3 linked regions of the Saccharomyces cerevisiae S288C genome follow. Changing the gene in region 3 together with the main gene of any one other region gives a genetic interaction. Each region holds a gene or a part of one and is shown on either strand. Other genes may lie near its edges.

What was found. A genetic interaction does not mean that the proteins touch.
Region 1: mutations in SLM1 (region 3) and KTI12 together harm fitness more than expected from each alone (negative genetic interaction), as found in Saccharomyces cerevisiae (2 studies listed by BioGRID).
Region 2: mutations in SLM1 (region 3) and OSH3 together harm fitness less than expected from each alone (positive genetic interaction), as found in Saccharomyces cerevisiae (2 studies listed by BioGRID).

The regions. Positions count from the first base shown.
Region 1 is NC_001143.9:227,163-232,294, forward strand, and holds KTI12 (Kti12p), read right to left. Parts: upstream 2,719-5,132; coding exon 1,777-2,718; downstream 1-1,776. Other genes in the region: DNA-binding protein ABF1, read left to right, coding at 1-1,603; transcription factor HAP4, read left to right, coding at 5,065-5,132. UniProt on the Saccharomyces cerevisiae protein: Elongator complex-associated factor that is not a structural subunit but rather transiently contacts the complex.
Region 2 is NC_001140.6:239,875-247,348, reverse strand, and holds OSH3 (oxysterol-binding protein related protein OSH3), read right to left. Parts: upstream 4,768-7,474; coding exon 1,777-4,767; downstream 1-1,776. Other genes in the region: QNS1 (glutamine-dependent NAD(+) synthetase), read right to left, coding at 1-1,156; snoRNP complex protein NOP10, read right to left, coding at 5,509-5,685; lanosterol synthase ERG7, read right to left, coding at 6,056-7,474. UniProt on the Saccharomyces cerevisiae protein: Lipid transport protein (LTP) involved in non-vesicular transfer of lipids between membranes.
Region 3 is NC_001141.2:164,968-171,367, forward strand, and holds SLM1 (phosphatidylinositol 4,5-bisphosphate-binding protein), read right to left. Parts: upstream 4,675-6,400; coding exon 2,614-4,674; downstream 1-2,613. Other genes in the region: PFK26 (6-phosphofructo-2-kinase), read right to left, coding at 1-794; MOB1 (Mob1p), read left to right, coding at 1,448-1,467, 1,553-2,477; YIL105W-A (uncharacterized protein), read left to right, coding at 2,697-2,837; Hsp90 cochaperone SHQ1, read right to left, coding at 5,015-6,400. UniProt on the Saccharomyces cerevisiae protein: Together with SLM2, acts as an effector of the TORC2- and calcineurin-signaling pathways. Phosphorylated and activated by TORC2 under favorable growth conditions. Mediates actin polarization via inhibition of calcineurin-dependent transcription.

The DNA of each region.
Region 1 (5,132 bases), on a different chromosome or scaffold from region 3:
TATTGACCGGGGATTGGACGACGAGAGCGGTCCTACTCATGGTAATGACAGCGGTAACCACCGTCACAACGAGGAGGATGACGTCCATACCCAAATGACGAAAAACTATTCTGACGTAGTGAACGATGAAGACATCAACGTTGCCATTGCCAATGCCGTCGCAAATGTAGATTCTCAATCAAACAATAAGCACGATGGAAAAGACGATGATGCCACTAACAACAATGATGGCCAAGATAATAATACTAATAACGATCACAACAATAACAGCAATATCAATAACAACAATGTCGGTAGCCACGGCATTTCCTCCCACTCACCATCCTCCATACGAGACACGTCTATGAATTTAGACGTCTTCAATTCTGCTACCGATGATATACCGGGCCCATTTGTCGTTACCAAAATTGAGCCCTATCATAGTCACCCACTAGAAGATAACTTGTCACTGGGTAAATTTATCCTAACTAAGATTCCAAAGATTTTACAAAACGATTTAAAGTTTGATCAAATACTAGAAAGCTCTTACAATAATTCTAACCATACAGTGAGTAAATTTAAAGTTTCTCATTACGTGGAGGAGTCCGGTCTTTTAGACATTTTAATGCAAAGATATGGATTAACCGCCGAAGATTTCGAAAAAAGGTTACTTTCCCAAATAGCCAGACGTATAACGACGTATAAAGCAAGATTTGTTTTGAAAAAGAAAAAAATGGGCGAGTATAATGATTTACAACCTTCTTCATCTTCCAATAACAACAATAACAACGATGGTGAGCTTTCTGGCACGAACTTGAGAAGTAACTCTATCGACTACGCCAAACATCAGGAAATATCAAGTGCGGGTACCTCATCGAACACAACCAAAAATGTGAATAATAACAAGAATGACAGTAATGACGATAATAACGGCAACAATAATAATGACGCCTCAAATTTAATGGAAAGTGTGCTAGATAAAACCTCTAGTCACCGGTATCAACCCAAGAAGATGCCAAGCGTCAATAAATGGAGCAAGCCAGATCAAATAACTCATTCAGACGTGTCCATGGTTGGCCTAGATGAATCAAACGATGGCGGTAATGAAAATGTCCACCCAACCTTGGCTGAAGTAGACGCTCAAGAAGCTCGTGAAACTGCTCAGTTAGCCATAGACAAGATCAATTCTTATAAGAGGTCCATTGATGACAAGAATGGTGATGGCCATAACAATTCGTCGAGAAACGTGGTAGATGAAAACTTGATCAACGATATGGATTCAGAAGATGCTCACAAGTCCAAAAGACAGCATTTGTCAGATATCACACTGGAAGAGAGAAATGAAGACGACAAACTACCACATGAAGTGGCGGAACAGTTAAGGTTACTGTCATCGCATTTGAAAGAGGTAGAGAATCTACACCAGAATAATGATGATGACGTAGACGATGTAATGGTGGACGTGGATGTAGAATCGCAGTATAATAAGAACACAACTCATCATAATAACCATCATAGCCAACCTCATCACGATGAAGAAGATGTTGCTGGACTAATAGGGAAAGCCGATGATGAAGAAGACCTTTCTGATGAAAACATTCAACCAGAATTAAGAGGTCAATAGATACCCAGTTGAGAAGACGAGCTATTTTTCTCATGTTTCTTTTGTTTATTCACTTTTCTATACTTTTTCTTTTCTATTGAAATATATATTATATCTTATGTATGTTTTTTTGTATTATAAACAAGCAAATTTCGTCTTGCCATTTACCTTCTGATATTAATCACATGTATATCTCAATTCAAGTTTTTGTTAAGATAATCAGCGAAAAGCGGACCGATCCTATCTTGATCTATATCTCTTAGTTTGTTGAAGTTAATGAATTGCCTTTTCAATCTCTGCAATTGCGCCAACGTAACGACGTTACCAATGGGCAAGTCTACGAAGAAGCAACCATCATCATTGATATCGGTAATCCCTTCGGAAACAATGACTCTTGTTCCGTTACTTACCCCGCCAATAGAAGTCAGGCTTTTGATGTGGTTCATTATGGTTTTTATTATCTTACTAGTTTCGATGTCGAGAACCTGGATGAAATTGGACTGAGACGCAGGCTTTAGTACCGTGGCTGAGTTCGGTTTTTGTAAGCCCTTACTCAACGGATCATTGTGTCCACTGTTTTTAGCCGATTTGGAAGTTTGAAAGACTACTTTACAAATATCGTCGATGTAGTCAGTTATGTTGTCCTGAGGAGTAAGAATAGCAAAGAGTGGAGAGTCCCATCGGTTGCTTGAGTTAGGCTCTTCGTATCGTTGAATCAATTGATTCAATAACTCGGGTTCCCAAGGGTTCGGGTTTGAAGTCTTATTCCACTCGAATATAGTCTCTGGTGGACACAGTGTTTGAATTACACAAAATGTGGTGGACAAATTTTTCACCTCGCAGTGAAGTTGATACCGGAAACCCTTGATATAATTCAACGAGTCTACAATGACTATCTTGTTTTTAGATAGATCTCTTTTCACTGCGGAGATGATCTCCGACCTCAATTTTCTTTCATCTTGGGAAGTTATATAATCTGAATGTTTTATGCCTAAAGATTCATCTGAATGATAGGTTATGGAATATTTACTTAATGATGGGGTTGCATCGATCTTGGACTGTAGTAGTTGTACCAAATGTTTAGCAAGCGTTGTCTTACCACTACATGGGTATCCCGTAAAAAGCACCAGTGGCATCTTCTTACTAAATTGCCTGTTTAGTTTTTTCAAAAGTTTTACAAGGTCCCTTTACCCTCATTCTGATACGTTATTGTTCAAGTTTCACCTGTTCATCAAGTATTCTTCATTTCTTTTTCCATCGCGATGACGATGACAAAACGGCAAAAAGTCAAAGAAAAAGAAAAAAAAAGATTTTTTTTCCATCATATGCAGAGAGAATATGTCCAAGCCAAGCGCAGTGTGCATGTATGCTGTTTTTAGCATATCGGGTGTGCGAAAGGAATGACATAATGATTTGCAACTAATATTTCCTTATATAAATATGCTTCTGGATATGAGTCTCATGAAACAAGTTCAGTAATTGCTTGTTTTACCCTTACTTTTTTCTTGGTTATGACTTGTGTACATAATAAATTGCCTATTTTCCCAAATTGTGTCCTTTTTCCTTTCCGGTTGGTATGAGATATTTCTTTTCAAAAATCAAAAGAAAACAACAAAGGGTTGATATTATGTAATGCAATACCTAGAATCGGGAAAAACTTGTTTGTCGTACCAAGAGAGGCAGCACTGGCGTGCCTTGATTTAATATAACTCCTGAGATAGTGGGGGTTACATGAGTTGTACAGCATAAGACTCCCTCTCCCCAGTTCTGTTCGTATATGTCGGGCTTGCTTGCGAAAGCAAGGGGTTCAATAAACAGAAAACAGAGTTTTTGGATAAAGTTTAAACAACGGAAACAGAGCAACAATGAAGGAGAGAATAAGTATCAATTGTGTAATTCTGTATACCGTAGTGCACAGTACGCTGTGCGCAACTCTTGCCTAAAAAATCTAGTTATCAAGCGGGGTGAATATGCTACAATGCCTCTTTTACGTTGTACTCTATCAAGGGATGATAGCAGTGGCACATATTGATTGATACGACTTTTCGCCGCGCGGTAGGCGAAAAGCAAAGAAAACTACAGTAATATCCAGAAATAGATGCATTTTATGTGCGAAATAAAACTCATGCTGAAAAAAATAGTAATAATTAATAGGGTAACGAATAGAATGCAAACCTTATCACGTGAAAGAGAGAACAATCATAAATGATTTAGTGCGTAGGTCCAGATTTGCGAAACACTGCGGAAGGCGAGAAAAGAATTCGAATATGAAGTAGGTAGAAGCAGAGGTAGGGCCGCTATTTAAAGATATACTTTTTCTGTACGGGCCGGTGACTTCGCAGTAGTGATGTACTATGAGATCACTATTTTGCCGGAAACTGTAGGCAAAAACCGTTTATGTCTTTTTTTCACCTTACGGGATAACCTCTGCTGAGAATTTCCAAAACTAGGCATGGATGATTGCCGGAATTTGAAACCCGGGCCCCGGAGGTTGATCGCACGGCAAATACATAAGAACCTTCTCCGCAATACGGGCTTTCCTCAATTTTCTTGGCCAAAAAGCGAGTCGGCCCCGAGCTACAAATCGGGAACAACGGAGGAATAGAGCGACAAGTTGATTCGGTCGTGCAGCCCGGAAAAAAAAGGCTGTCCTGCGGGCTTTATTCACTCCAATGCCGCTGAGAGGAACACGCGTTTCGTGGGCTTTGGACCACTACCCCGGCGTTCAGAGAAACCCCCCGGGGCAGGGGTCCGAAGTCTAAAAGTTTAATCCGGAAGTAGCGACGGGGGGGAAGCCCGCCGCGCACAGATGGCCAGCACAACGGAGCGGGGCCGAGGCGGCAAACGAGGTTAAGCCCGCTGAACCTGAAAAAAAAAACGAAAATTTTCTTTCATCAAGGACTAAAGTTTTCTTATGTTACGGATCTTGCACGCGGTAAGCAATGGCCGTAGCCTTTTCACAGTTGCTTCCAAGTGTCATGTATCGATTTTGCAGATTGTTCTAAAAGTAAATGGATTGCTATTTTCTTTCCGAGACTACTCTAAAAAAATTTATTGAGTATGAGATCGTTTTTAGATAAATTATATATATTGTAAAGCTATTAACTAATCTCCTATATCAATTTCTTCTTGCTTAACCCCGTGTGGTTGTTTAGGTCCATCTCCTTTTTCCTTTTAATTTTTTTACCTTTATTAATTCCTTCACCTCTCTAAACCCCAGTTTTATATCGTATATGCTATCTACAGGTCCACTTTACACTTAATAATATAAAAATACTACTATAAAGGAACCAGAAAAATAAAAAAGGGTCATTATTTATTTGAGCAGATCATTATCAAACGCATAGGAAGAGAAAAAACACAGTTTTATTTTTTTTCCACACATATTTATTGGTCTCCTAGTACATCAAAGAGCATTTTAATGGGTTGCTGATTTGTTTTACCTACATTTTCTAGTACAAAAAAAAAACAAAAAAAGAATCATGACCGCAAAGACTTTTCTACTACAGGCCTCCGCTAGTCGCCCTCGTAGTAACCATTTTAAAAATGA
Region 2 (7,474 bases), on a different chromosome or scaffold from region 3:
TTTGAGCAGCGTCGGTCACTAAACGGCACATAGAGTGGACAATCATTGCAGTTGCACAAGAGTCAATGCCCCCAGATAAGGGAAGGAAAAACCCTGTTCCGTTACAACGTCTTAAATAATCCCACATCCAGCAAGCAGGTCCCAGTGCAATTTCTTCCTCAGGAGAGTGATAGAAAGGCTCGCGGACTTTTGTTGGACACACTGTAGGATCAAATCTGGAGGTCATTAAAGCCAATTCTACAGGAATATCAATACGCTTGAACTTTATTTCTGCCAAGGAGGCTTGTAGGCCACGAGACATGACAGCTGCACGATAACTCCTCACCTCTTCTAGGTCCACAGTAGCAGTAACTACTTCCACATCATCTAGCGAAAATTGTGAACCTTGGGCTACAATTGTACCATTGATGGCAATTAGTGCACAGCCATCATAATATAATCTGTCACCATCACAACCTCTTTGATTTGCATACAAGTAAACACCACCACAACGTTTAGTGGCATTTAAAATTAGGTCTAACCTTTTATTTAACTTACGCAGTTCATGATGAGAACCAGATGAGTTTGTCATGATTTCCACACCATCTAAAGACATGGCGATGTGGGGGGATTGAGGTGTAAACAATTCTTCACAAGTTTCTGTACCAATGCATGTATCCAATGAATTTATCACAGCGTCCCCAAATGGCACAAGTCTCTGGCCGGTAACTTTCTGAATCTCAGGTGGAAGGATAAAGTCCTCCACCACGCCAGGTTTCATCCAAGGTGTGAAAAATCTCATTTCCCTATAGTTACCATCATTAGCTAACCAAATCTTAGGTCTTATGAACAATATCTCACCATCCAAGGATAACAAACGACAATTATAACGAACATTCTTGTGTAGAACGGGCATACCAATGTCAAGTATTAATCCATGGGTTTCTTTATTCTTAATGATTTGAGCATACATTTCCCATGAATGAAGGCAAACGTCATTTTCTAAAAAATGATCTAAACATCCGTAGCCAGTTATTTCCAGTTCTGGGCCGACACGTAACCTGGCACCCCTCTCTTTGGCAATCTTAATGGACTGTAGGATACGGTCTCTATTACCTTCAAAATCTAGGGCCCATTGATTCAAGTTGCATGTAGCTAAAGTGATAAGATGTGACATTACTGGCAGGGAGTCAAAAAAAGAATGCCAGGGTATTTGGGGGTATTTTTACAAGCAATATCAATTGATGATGTGAGCATATAGTCTATTTTGAGGTAACCAGTTGATAATCTTATATTTCCCTTCCATATTCCTCTTTATCTTTTTCGACGAAACTATTGGGGCCTCTTGATATGACTTAGCAGGACATATAAAGGATAAGATGTTCCAAGCTATGTTATCTTTGACAAGTTTTGATAGCAATAGACTTTCAATTCCAAATTTAGGCACCTTTTGTAAGATCCTGTGTTCGTAAACTTTTCTTCAAAAAACATGGATCTAACTGACTGAAAGAGTTCATTATCTTTCAATTATGTGATGAAATTCTATTGTTTTTTTCAAGTTTTGCAACTAATCATAAAATAGAATGTTTTTACAGTCAAGCAAACAAAAATAGTGTAGAACTGTTAATATAAAATTAGTGTGAAAGATTGATCAAGAATTTATAAAGTCCTTCATGTTGTATATAGTATACTATACATGAACGCATATACAAGTAATTTGTGTGGATGATCATTAAAGATGGAAAATAAATAGAGTACAAAGGGGGGAAAAAAGTTCACTTGATGTCATCAAGGCATTCACCAGAGTTGAGAAATATCAGACCAATCATGCTTCTTTCTTCTTTCCCAATAACTCTTCGGTCCAGTTATGTATTTCCATTCATTCTTAGATACTTTTTCGAAATATTTAGGCTCCACATCTTGCCCTTTATTACGTCTTTCACGTTGAAGTTGTTCCAATTTCAGCTTCCACTCTTCCGCCTTATCAACATTTCCCTCCTCGTAAGCTCTAATATCTGGTCTTAATCTTGAGTCCGTAGGTGGTAAATTGCCCTTTTCAATTTCAGTTATCTCATTCAAATTTGCGGTGAATTTAGTAAAGCCATATTTCTTCTTCGGATTGCTAACTAAATCACCTACTTCCCATATAGTTTCATGTGTAGTTTCATTAGCTAAACTCTGTGTCCATTTACCAGCTAGAGTTTCCTTCTTGCGATTGCTCGAAGGTGGTGGGATTATCGAAACCTTAAATCCTTCAGATCTTCCACTAAACATACCTGCCTTATCGAACAGGATGTGTGATTTGTCTCCCTTCGAAGAATGTACTTCGAATTCGTTGACAGGCTCCATATATCTCTCACCCGCTATCAAATTTTTTAAAATAGTTGTTGGTTGCGTCCATTCAAATAGTTCTCCAGTTGTCTTAAACTTCAATCTCAGTATACCTTCGTTATTCAATTCAATAGACTTACCCCAAAACTTTTGCGATGGCGTTACAGTGTAACTACACTCCCAGTCGAGATGCTCTGCAAAGAAGGCAAATACTGGAGGACGATGTGAGACCTTTTCCGATATAAGCCTAAACCCCATATCTTCTCGTATAAGTTCAAATGTTTCAGCCAGTAAAGGATTAAAAGGCTTTCTTAGCGTTCTTGTTTTATCCCTATATATGGAAAGAAAGGAAATAGCAAATGCAGAAACAAAGGTTATAGGATCAGGACGTTGGGTAGCCTTCGTTAAAAGTGGAGCATACTCAAATGTTTCTGATATCAACTGCAAAATAGAAATAGGCTCATTTGAGGTTACTGGCATGGCAATAGAGCTCAGATCTTTGCCTACATTCTTTCTCAAAAAAGATAATAGGCTTGGCGGAGAAGCTGCAGCTTCAGGTATGTCATTACGGCGTGTAACACTCTTTGGATAGGAAAGAGCAAACAAATCCTTACTTGTAAATGTTTCTGTTGAGGATTGGGCGCTTTTGGTTTTTTGATGATGAGGGTGGCCACGGCGACGATTTTTGTGACGATTTTTGAGGTGTTTACGGCTATGATTTTCATCGTTAGTTGTATAGCTCTCCACACTTGATGAAGCTATCTGTTCGGATCCCGACAATTGGACCTCTTTTGTGAACTCATTTTGGTCACTTTTACCAAGAAGGGGAGTTTCCTCGACTATATTATTAATATCATCTTCTGTGTCAGGTAATATAATGACTCCCCGACTGATTTCCTCTTCTGCATCAAAAAATTCATCATTCTCGCTAAGATATGAAGTTAAAGAAACTCTCGTGTCTTTTGCTTTCTTGCACAGGATCTGGTGGTCCTTGAATAAAACCTCTCCCTGTGTAACGAACCGGCTAACAAATACTTCAAGATCTGCCAATTGGTTATATAAAGCATGCTCAATATATGTTTTGTTGGAAGGAACCTCTTCAGAGGCTAAAGAATCAGATGACGTCATACCAGAAGAAGAATGATTGAATGAAGACACTCTATTATTGGTAAAGACGGAAGATGACGAATGTGTTCCATTTAGCCCCTCCGATCTTTGATGTAAAGTAGTTGGTTTATAAGATAACGAGTCTTTTTTACACTGCTCCAGTCGTTGTTGAATCAAACGTAGATTCATGGAGAAAGTAGCGTAAGATTCGCTGGGCAATGGGACATATATGTCATCCATGTCTTTCTGAGTATGCTGTCTATGTGATAGTGCACTTTTGGTCGTAGCCGTGGGCGTGAGGTGGTCGTGGTCTTGAGGTGAGCTTTTATTAATTACTTCCTTGTCATCGTCAAGAATGTCGGGATTTTCTTCCAAAGTGGACGTGTCCTTATCTTCGAACTGATCGTCAAAACAAGTTTGTAACGCATCGACCCACGACTGCCAATTTTCCTTAGTTGTAGCCTTCAAGACCCAAACTTCCATACCAGAATCAATTATGATTATTTTGTCCTTCTTATTGGCACTAACAGATGACAAGCTTATGACAATTTCACCCCTACAAGTTTGATTATGGTCGTTTAAATAGTACGATAGGGTTCCATATCGAAAGTCCAAGGTGAAAAACCTTTTCTTAAAACCTTGTAGTCTCTTTCTCCTTTTTTTCAGCAGGTAGCCTTGCAAGTAACGACCTTGTCCTACTCTAAATAACATATCCTGTTGAGTAGATGTTCTGCTTAAAGCTGTAGGCCTTGCGGGAGGGGTGGATCTTGTGCTTATCATCGATTGATTATCGCCGTTTATCACACTTGCGTTAAAAAGAATTTTCTTTTTTGCATTCTTGGAAGACGAGTTGTCCAGTATAAATGCATAATAGTAGTCTGTATCTTTCACTTCAAGATCACCTTGGACCATAGTGTTACCGGAAACGTTGCCGACCCTCTTGACCAAAGTGAATCCTGACGCAGAGAGTTTTTCACGTAGGGGTATTTCCTGGGATTGCTGCTGTATGCCGCTAATGGACAGTGAAGAATATGATCTCTCTTTCCTCTTATTATCCGATCCATTGCTCGAACTATGAGAGTGCTGTGAGGAACGCCTGTGATGCTCCTCAATATTACTCGAACTTCCCTTATGTAATAGAGATTTCGTAGTATAGTCTAGCAATGTTTTAGTGTCAGGTGCAATGTGAACTGCGGAAGCATGGTCATCTACACTGGATTTCAACTTTTTGTATATGCCGACTTCAATAGATTTCTTCAATGGCTTGATCTGATAATTGATTACATCGCCACGGCCACATTTTACCCAACGAACAACAAATGATCGATTTTGTATATCAATTGTTTCCATAATTCGATTCGCAGGCTGCTATTCAAGCTCGTTTTACTACTCTCCAGCAAATAGGACGTCGAAACTTTCACGAGTTATACTCTCCCCCCAACAGGTTCACTAAAAAACCATGTCGTTGCTGGTTGTATGGTGTCAAACTGCTTTTTCCAAAGATTTGGTTATTTTTTTCGCCCTACCCTAAGCAATATCCGTATTAAAAGCTATGAGGCTTTTTGGTTGAATCAACAGTTGGAAACGCTTGATACAACCAAAATAAATATGTCATTACAATTTTGTGCTCCCGGAAACAAGGTTTTCCAGCACAGTTATTAATGTAGCGGTAGCCTATCTGTAAGCCGACTCTTTGGAGCAGTAAAGTGGAGCAGTAGAGTGGAGCCTTTAGATCTAGAGATGCGGCTTAATATCGACATCAAGTACCTTTTTTGGTTGCTACAGTTAAAGACTTTTCTTGTACGTTTTAACAACGTGAAGCACAACTGTAACTAATATCAATCTATTTTTCCTTATTACAGCTAAAAAGAAACTGGCGAGTCTTAAAAGAACTGGTTCTGGATAAGAAAACGGCCACTGCTCCTTCGAGATTAAAACATATAATCGATCAATTATAATTAGTATTTATCACCTAAAAACTTATCAAATTTATGTAGGTCTAGAAAATTGAAAATGAAACAAGAAAATTCACTGCATTTTCATACTAGCCAGAATCACGTACTATACAATATTCCCTTAAACTACCCAAATCTATTGGCCTGGTACCAAACCAAATCTCTTCTTCAAAGTTACTCTTTGTCTTGAATATTTGTCGTCTGGAGAAAATCTAGCTGGGTGAGCAGACTTCGTGATTTCACCACTTTCGGTGACCTTTTTCAATGTATAGATTCTCTTGCCGTCTGGGCCCAAAGTGTACATCAAATGCATCTTGTTCAAAAGGATTTGTTATGTATTGGTCTATTGAAAGTATTTCTCTTTTCCGTCAACTCACTAACATAAGCCACTTTATAGCTACCATAATGTAATAAAAGAGTGATGAGCATAACTTGAAATTTTTTTCTCCTTCCGCTTAGTTGAAAAAAGACGAAAAAAATAGTGAAGCCGTGCTAAAGGATAAATGGTATATTTGAAAGAACTCTACACTTAGCGTGTAATCACCATAACCAATAGTTAGCTGGAATTTCAAACACATGTTAATTTTTCACCTATTATTTTACTACTACATATACAAATAAATATACTAGTTTTGCACTAGTTTCTAATTGTTGCAGCCTCTAACAACACTTATAAATAAAACTTAAAGCGTATGTGTTTCATATGCCCTGCTGTACATACCTAATGCCTTAATAGGGAATAAGAATCGATAACTTGGGTATTCAATTGCACAAGAGTGGTTGAAAACACCTTCTACACTTTCAAATTTCCATTCCCCGGATTCTTCTTGTCTATTTTTTAAAAGGTCAATACCGCGGTCGATGACTTCTTTATTAGGATATTCAGCGAAAAGAAGTGCAATTAGCGCCCATGCGGTTTGAACGACTAGCGATTTTTCACTATCCACATAACTATGTAATTCACTGGACTTCATTGATTCCCCCCAACCGCCATCCTTCATCTGTTTACTGACCAAGAAGTCGCAACCTTTTCTTACCGTTGAGGAATTCTCATAGGTCTCCCCCACGGTGTGTAATGCCTCCAATGCAAACATACCGGCATATGTAAAACAAATACCCCAGCTTCCATACCAACTTCCATCTGGTAATTGAGATTTTTTTATGAATTCGATGGCGATTCTGATGCGTGTACGTATTTCCTCTTTCCTATAGTCGAAGTACTTGTGAAAATATGTCAACCCCAGAACGGATGAATCAGTACATTCCACGTATGGGTATTCTACCATTATGTTACCAAAAACTTCAGCAGGATTCAAGGTTTCCATTGCTAGTGGGGCCTTGATTTTTTCATAGGTTGCAAAGGAACCATATTCAAAAGATCCGATGTTTTGTAGGTTCAATAACACATCAATGCCTTCAAATAAACGTTCACTGCTAATCATATGGTGTACTTCACTAAAGACGGGAGAGTTTTTCACCATGATGATGGCTTTAATTGCTTCTGCAGTGCAATCTGCCACTGTATAGCCCTGTGTTTTTGTTGAGAAGCCCCAAGCCCCCTTTCTCTTATCCCTATAACTACCTGGAACGCACTCGGTGTCAAATTGAGCATGACACAAGAATTTATAGGCAGAGACAATTGTGTTATAGAATTCAGGTCTTTCTGCGAGGCCTGCGACGAAAAAGTATTGAATGGCAAACGCACAATCCCAGGTTTGCACACCATTTGTTCCCATAATGGTCATACCCTGTGGACCATGGAACAATGCATCCTTGAACCTATATTGGAGACGCTGGAACGCTTCCGAGTCTACCCCTTCTTCAATAAGAGTGACAAGTGCGCAAAACGCCTGGTTAACAGGTGCTATACACAAGGAATCAGTATTCTGTAACTCCGTTTTGATTAGATCATAAACCTTCTTCTTGGATAGAGAGTAAATGAACCGGTTTCTTAGGTATTTTTCGTAAAATACTACAAGGCTGTTCGCAATATTCAAAGTAGTAGAATGGGGGTAATATAGGTCTACTCCACATACGGTATTCCTGTTCTTGGAGAAGTTAATCTTGTCAAACGGTTTAGTGTAAATTTCATTCCTCAGTTC
Region 3 (6,400 bases):
TAATCTAGCAATTCATCCAGAGTATCCATGGCCCATTTGTCTCTCAACCTAGTAGAGTCGGCGTTTTTCGGCTCGAAAAACTTTGAATCCTGGTCCTTTAGGCCATGCTCCTTAGCAAACTTCCTTCTAGTGTTACCGACATTAAACACTTTACAATAGTATAAAGAATAATTTAAAAATCTGGATAATTTATTTGTAATAAATGACTTTCCCGTAGCTGGCAGTCCGACCATGACAATCACTAACTTTGATCCACTATCTTCCTTTGATATGAGACCATCTGGAGATGTTTTAGACTTTGTTAAACCAGGAACATCGATGGTGGTAGGTCTTCTTTTATGGTGTCTCGTAGGTGATTTAATGTCTTTCAAATCAATCCGAGTTACCTCATTTGCTCCATCTGAAGGAGGCATGTAGTCAGTAGTATCGTTTGTGGGAATTTTAGCATTTTTTAGTTGCGTTTCGTCGTTAATATGCAATCGATGTAGCGATTTCAAATTAGTAGCGCTATTTTCAGGAGAGTCAGAAGGTGTATTTTCTTCAGTGATTCCAGGAGAGTTCCAATTGCTCGATATAGGAGTATCGCTCAAAGGTCTTTTCTGAAAAAGTGGTAAGTGCTTAGATAATTCATCATGCGGACCCTTTTCAGCATCAATTTTATCATCGGAACTCCGGGATAAAAGATCATAACTGGAGTCTTGACTAGGTGCCACATGGTGTGGAGATTGTGTAGGAGCAAGATCAATATCAGGCGGCACAGGAGATGTTTCAGAGAAGTCTACTGGTTTGAACATGAGCTTTTATTCCTCTTGCCTTTGTTCCCTTGAATAAACCCTTCTTCTACGCCTCTTGTTATTATTTTTACTCTTTTAGCTTATGGCACAAAAGTACACAAATAGATACTAAAAGGCGAAATTTATTTCACTTGATTTACCCGTAACTGAATACTTGAGTTTGTCTATATATATATATGTATACCTTTTATTGTTAAAAAAAGAATATGCCAACAAAATCTATAATAAATAGTCCATGTACTCCACTATAAATTAATTTGCTATTGTCAGTAATGGCGCGATTAAAAATAAATAGGAAAAGAAATCTCTCCTCAAAAAATCTTATGTCCCCTAATTTCCGTATGTTGTGATTTTGGTATTCAGAGATGATCACGTGATATAAACGTGATTATTATTATCGGTCGGGTATCCCACTCGTATAATATGACAAATACGTTCGATCAAAAGAAGGGTAATACTACTTCCCAAAATGGAAATATCAAAACGTTAGAAGAATTACAATTATAGCTTTGGTAACATTACTGATCTAAAAGAGCCTTAGCTCAGCCCGTTTGAGCTGTATAGATATTTTTTTAGTTTATTCGAGAGAAAACCGGTTTTTTTGTTAGTATCTTCAACAAAATTTTCCTAATTCAATAAGGACTTCAATTTCCATGTCTTTTCTACAAAATTTGTATGTTGCTATTTTCTTTTCTACTTCAAGTATTATTGTTCATCTTTTATTAACAAACTGGGTATGAGTTACCTTTTGAAAGCAGTCATATAAGTCCCGGCCAAACAATAAGATCTACTAGAGGTTTCAAGTGGAATACTGCCAATGCAGCTAATAATGCAGGCTCTGTATCGCCTACTAAGGCAACTCCCCATAACAATACTATTAACGGCAATAATAATAATGCCAATACTATTAACAATAGAGCAGATTTTACAAACAATCCAGTAAACGGATATAATGAAAGCGACCATGGAAGGATGTCTCCCGTCCTCACTACGCCAAAGAGGCACGCCCCTCCGCCTGAACAATTACAAAATGTAACGGACTTTAACTATACACCATCGCATCAGAAGCCGTTTCTACAACCGCAAGCAGGTACGACAGTTACAACACATCAAGACATCAAGCAAATTGTGGAGATGACACTGGGGTCTGAGGGAGTCCTTAACCAAGCTGTGAAGTTACCGCGTGGTGAGGATGAGAATGAATGGCTAGCGGTTCATTGCGTGGATTTTTACAATCAGATTAATATGTTATACGGGTCCATCACAGAATTTTGCTCCCCACAAACATGCCCGAGGATGATAGCGACGAACGAATATGAATATCTTTGGGCATTTCAAAAGGGTCAGCCCCCCGTTTCGGTAAGTGCCCCTAAGTATGTGGAATGTTTGATGAGGTGGTGTCAAGACCAATTTGATGACGAATCTCTTTTTCCTTCCAAAGTCACCGGTACCTTCCCGGAGGGATTCATCCAACGAGTAATTCAACCAATTCTAAGGCGATTATTCAGAGTTTATGCGCATATTTACTGTCATCATTTTAATGAAATTCTTGAACTAAATTTACAAACCGTACTAAACACAAGTTTTAGACATTTTTGTCTTTTTGCACAAGAGTTCGAACTACTAAGACCGGCTGATTTTGGTCCGCTGTTAGAATTAGTGATGGAGTTGAGGGATAGGTAGTATTGTATATTTATATAAGTCTGCTTGTAGGTTGTATTCTTCCATGCATGGGACACAAAAACAAAAATACGGAAACATATTAATATAACATATGGATGGAAGGAAATAAAAACATTCTAGTTTACTATACTTGTATTTATGATTTGAAATCGTTTATTGGAGTTTGAATATAAATATTGGGAACTTGATCTTGTAATTCAGAATCATTAGTATCAGGTAATGAAGACATGGATGTATTCGTATTTGTTTGATTGTCCAATTTTGGTGTTACCGTGGACCCCACATAATTACTATTTATATCATCGTTTTCATCATTTTCTACCATTGTGCTATTGGCATTACTCAGCTGATACTTATTAATGCTGGTATGGTTATTGGTTAGCTTGGGTTTCCCATCTGAATTCAAGTTTAATTTTTGTGTTATGAATTTATACTTGTCTTGTATATTCGAAGTAGATGTTAAGATCTTCAAATTATCAAACCAAGACATCATTGATTCATAAGAATCGGCTTTAAAAACCCAATTGTGACCACGACGAATTATGCCGTTTTGCTTAGCATGCAACACAAACTTAGCATCCGAACCAGTCGAATTTGGTGATGATGTACTGTTTTTCCGGGAATGTTCCGTCACAGTACATTCACTTAATGCTAACGACATCACTGGTACTAAATCTTTTTTTCTGTCCGCGGTCTTGAATTCATGTAAAAAGTTCGGTGTCAGCACATAATACCCTTTTGAATAGGATTTTAGAAATTTTGATCTTCTTTCTAAAAACCCTGATTTGATTTCATAAGTCAAAGGATCGAATTGGTATTTGTAAACGATTTCTTTGAATGTCCTCATCGGTAGATTAGGCAATAAAAAGTTGGGATCCCTTGAAATGAAGTTATCCCATTCAAATTGTGGGTCAACGTTGAAAAATCCAGAATCTAATTTGGATATCAATATATCGAAAACCAATTGTGCTTCTTGTCCCAGTAATCTGGCATATATTGTTAAAGAGTTTTGAATTTCCATAACTACAATTTTTTCTAATTCAGCGCCTGAAGTCTCTAAATTATCAAAAGCTTCATGCAGAAAGTTTTCCTCCTGAAGTTGCTTTTTAATTTGTCTATCAAGCGCCAGCTTGGTTAAGAATGGATCTTGTTTTGGCACTGAATAGCGCGCATCCTTTAAAGACTCCTGAAATTGCTTCATGGCCTGTTTTGTTTGTTGTAACTCTTTGGAACAAGAATTTTTGAAATCCGACTGCAGTGATTTTATTTCCTTTATCTTGACTATTAGATCTCTCCTCAAGTCTTCCAAACGAGGAATAACATCATTGGTCAATTCCCTTGATGCCTTAGACGCGCTGGATGCTAGGGATTCATGATACTGGTTCAAAATTGTTGGTAAGTCCTGTATCGAGCCATTACCCAATGGCAAAAAAAACTTTTGTACTGATTTATCCTCCTGCGAGCTTGGTTGGTATTGATTCTCGATCGAAAAGAATGGGAATTGTACAGCATGTGATAATCTTAGTTGCTGTCTAACAATTTCATCCTGAATAGAAGCGATTTCTGTTAAGTAAACGATCACCGACTTGATGACATTTCTCCAAGCTGAAAACCTCGCTGCAAGAATATCTGTTGGTTGCGCAGCTGTAGGGACCAGTATTACTAATGGAGATCTAGGATCTTGTTGTTGTTGCTGTTGCTGAGCAAGTCTTTGACGTTGTAAGGAAGACCTAGCCCTCGACAGTATTGAAGTGTTGGTTAAAGAGTTTTTCCCTTGGAGCTGTTTCCCGTTGTTATTATTGGGATCTGGGACAGCAATGGTTACATTGGTGTTCGAGTCGATATTAGGAGAACCATTGCTTATGATACCTTGCAACCCTCCAGAATTCATCGTCAGCGTCCTATTGTTTTGAAACGTTGAATTACTAGTGGAAGGAACTGGTTGTCCATTCAAATAGCTTTGTTGGTTTATATCGGATGTCAAACTGCCATTTTGAAAGCTTGCGCTCTGCTGCTGTTGCTGCTGCTGCTGCTGTTGTTGTTGTTGTTGTTGTTGCTGTTGTTGTAAAACGTTGGCATGATCTGCTGAAGTCATACTTCTCGTATGCTGCTGCAAGTTATGCAGGTGCTGAAGATTTAGCTGTTGCTGTGACAGCATATCAGAGACCGCAGAGGTCATTGTGTTGTTTTTCGACATTTTTTTTTCTTTTAATGTTGTATTCTTTTATTGTTAACTACTTTTTTTCTTTAAAAAGCTTCAAAAGAAGATGACCAAATGCAGATATAAGAACACTCTAATAGGTTGTACCAATTCAAGGGCTCAACAGATGTCCTCGTTGTTTTTCCCCCCCCCAGCTTGGATCGCTGTCACTCTTCAAGGCTTGAAAGCCTTCTCCCTTCTTCGATGGAATACGTAATGCCATGAGGGGAAAAGCCGCGGGAAGAGAAGGGTAACCCAATTTTAGGCCCCTGCAGGAACGTTAATCAATATATACTCTATCTAATGCAGTAATCTACGCTAAACATTCAAATGATCTTCATTGTGGGTTCTGCTGCTGCTCTCGGTATTCAGACTCTGCCAAAATTTCCATCTCTCTTATATTTAGTGTCTCCCACTCAGGTTCGCCAGTTTGTTCGTTGAACGATGCAATACATTCAAATTCAATATCCTGCTTGGAAAGTGACTCTTGCTCTTTTCTCATTTCCAAGGCCAGACTTCTTATGACGTTCTCACTACCCTGAGAAATGAACCACGCAGTCAGATCATCCAAGAGAACTTTGTCGTAGACGTAGTAAACATCATGGAAACGAAATGTTTCATGAATGTCCAAAAGCGCCCTTATGACTAGTCTCTTACCACCTCGTAGAATATAATATACGAATGTCCACGCTTTCATTGCTAGGTCATAGTTTCTATGTAGTGGATAACTCAGGGCTCTCCTGATACCTGTAATGATTGCAATCTTGATGAGAGAGCTGTCTTTATTAACCTTTGATATTTCTTTCATACCGTCTTGCAGTTCGTTCACCTGTTTTAATTGTTGGTCTAAGAATGATATTTGAGGGCACAATTTTCCCATGGTCCAAGCACTCTCTGTGGTATGAGTACCTTCGTTTTCGATCTGTTCAAACACATAACTGAAAAGAACGCTGAGTATAGTGACATAAAGTGGTTTTATATCTTCCACGAGATAAGACTTCTTGGGTAAATTGTCCTGCATCTGTTTTTGTTCCTCGTCAGTAAACTCAATTGGCATGACCAGATTTGGGTTCGTACTGTCTTTGTACCATTGCAGGTATTGCTTTACGATCGAAGGTGTAAACTTCAGTAGTTCTTTAATGCCGTTAATTTCCAAGTCTTCCTCGTTACCGTATTTATGTGTCATATACTCGGAAACATAGTACTCAGGATCAAACTTCAAATTTTCTTTTCTTAACCTTTCAATAACTCTATCGTTCGCGTCAGTGTGTTCAGGATCGTCTAATTCATTGATATCGTTCCCGTTGCTTGTCGACACTGATATAACTGTATCATATAAGTTATCAAACCCATATTTTGTCTTCAATATTCCATTATTGGTGCTGGAATCCATCTTTTGCTCTATCTCCCAATTAAACCCCTCTCCCATTTGACCAATAGTCTTCACATCATCTTTAATATTATTCGACACGCCATCAGTTTCGACCTCTTGAATAAGGGGCTTTTGGGTTTTTTTCGCATCAGTATTTTCTGTTAATGCATCGGCACCTGCAAGATCGCCTTGCCTAGCCAACAACTTTGTCGGTAGGTCCAAATCTTCGAAATATTCATTTTTATTCAGTTTGGCTACTTTTACATTGATGCATTCATCTTTGGAATCGTATTGAGCGGTAGACCTCTCATCATCGATTAATTCGTGAGGAAATCTTAATCTTAAATAGTA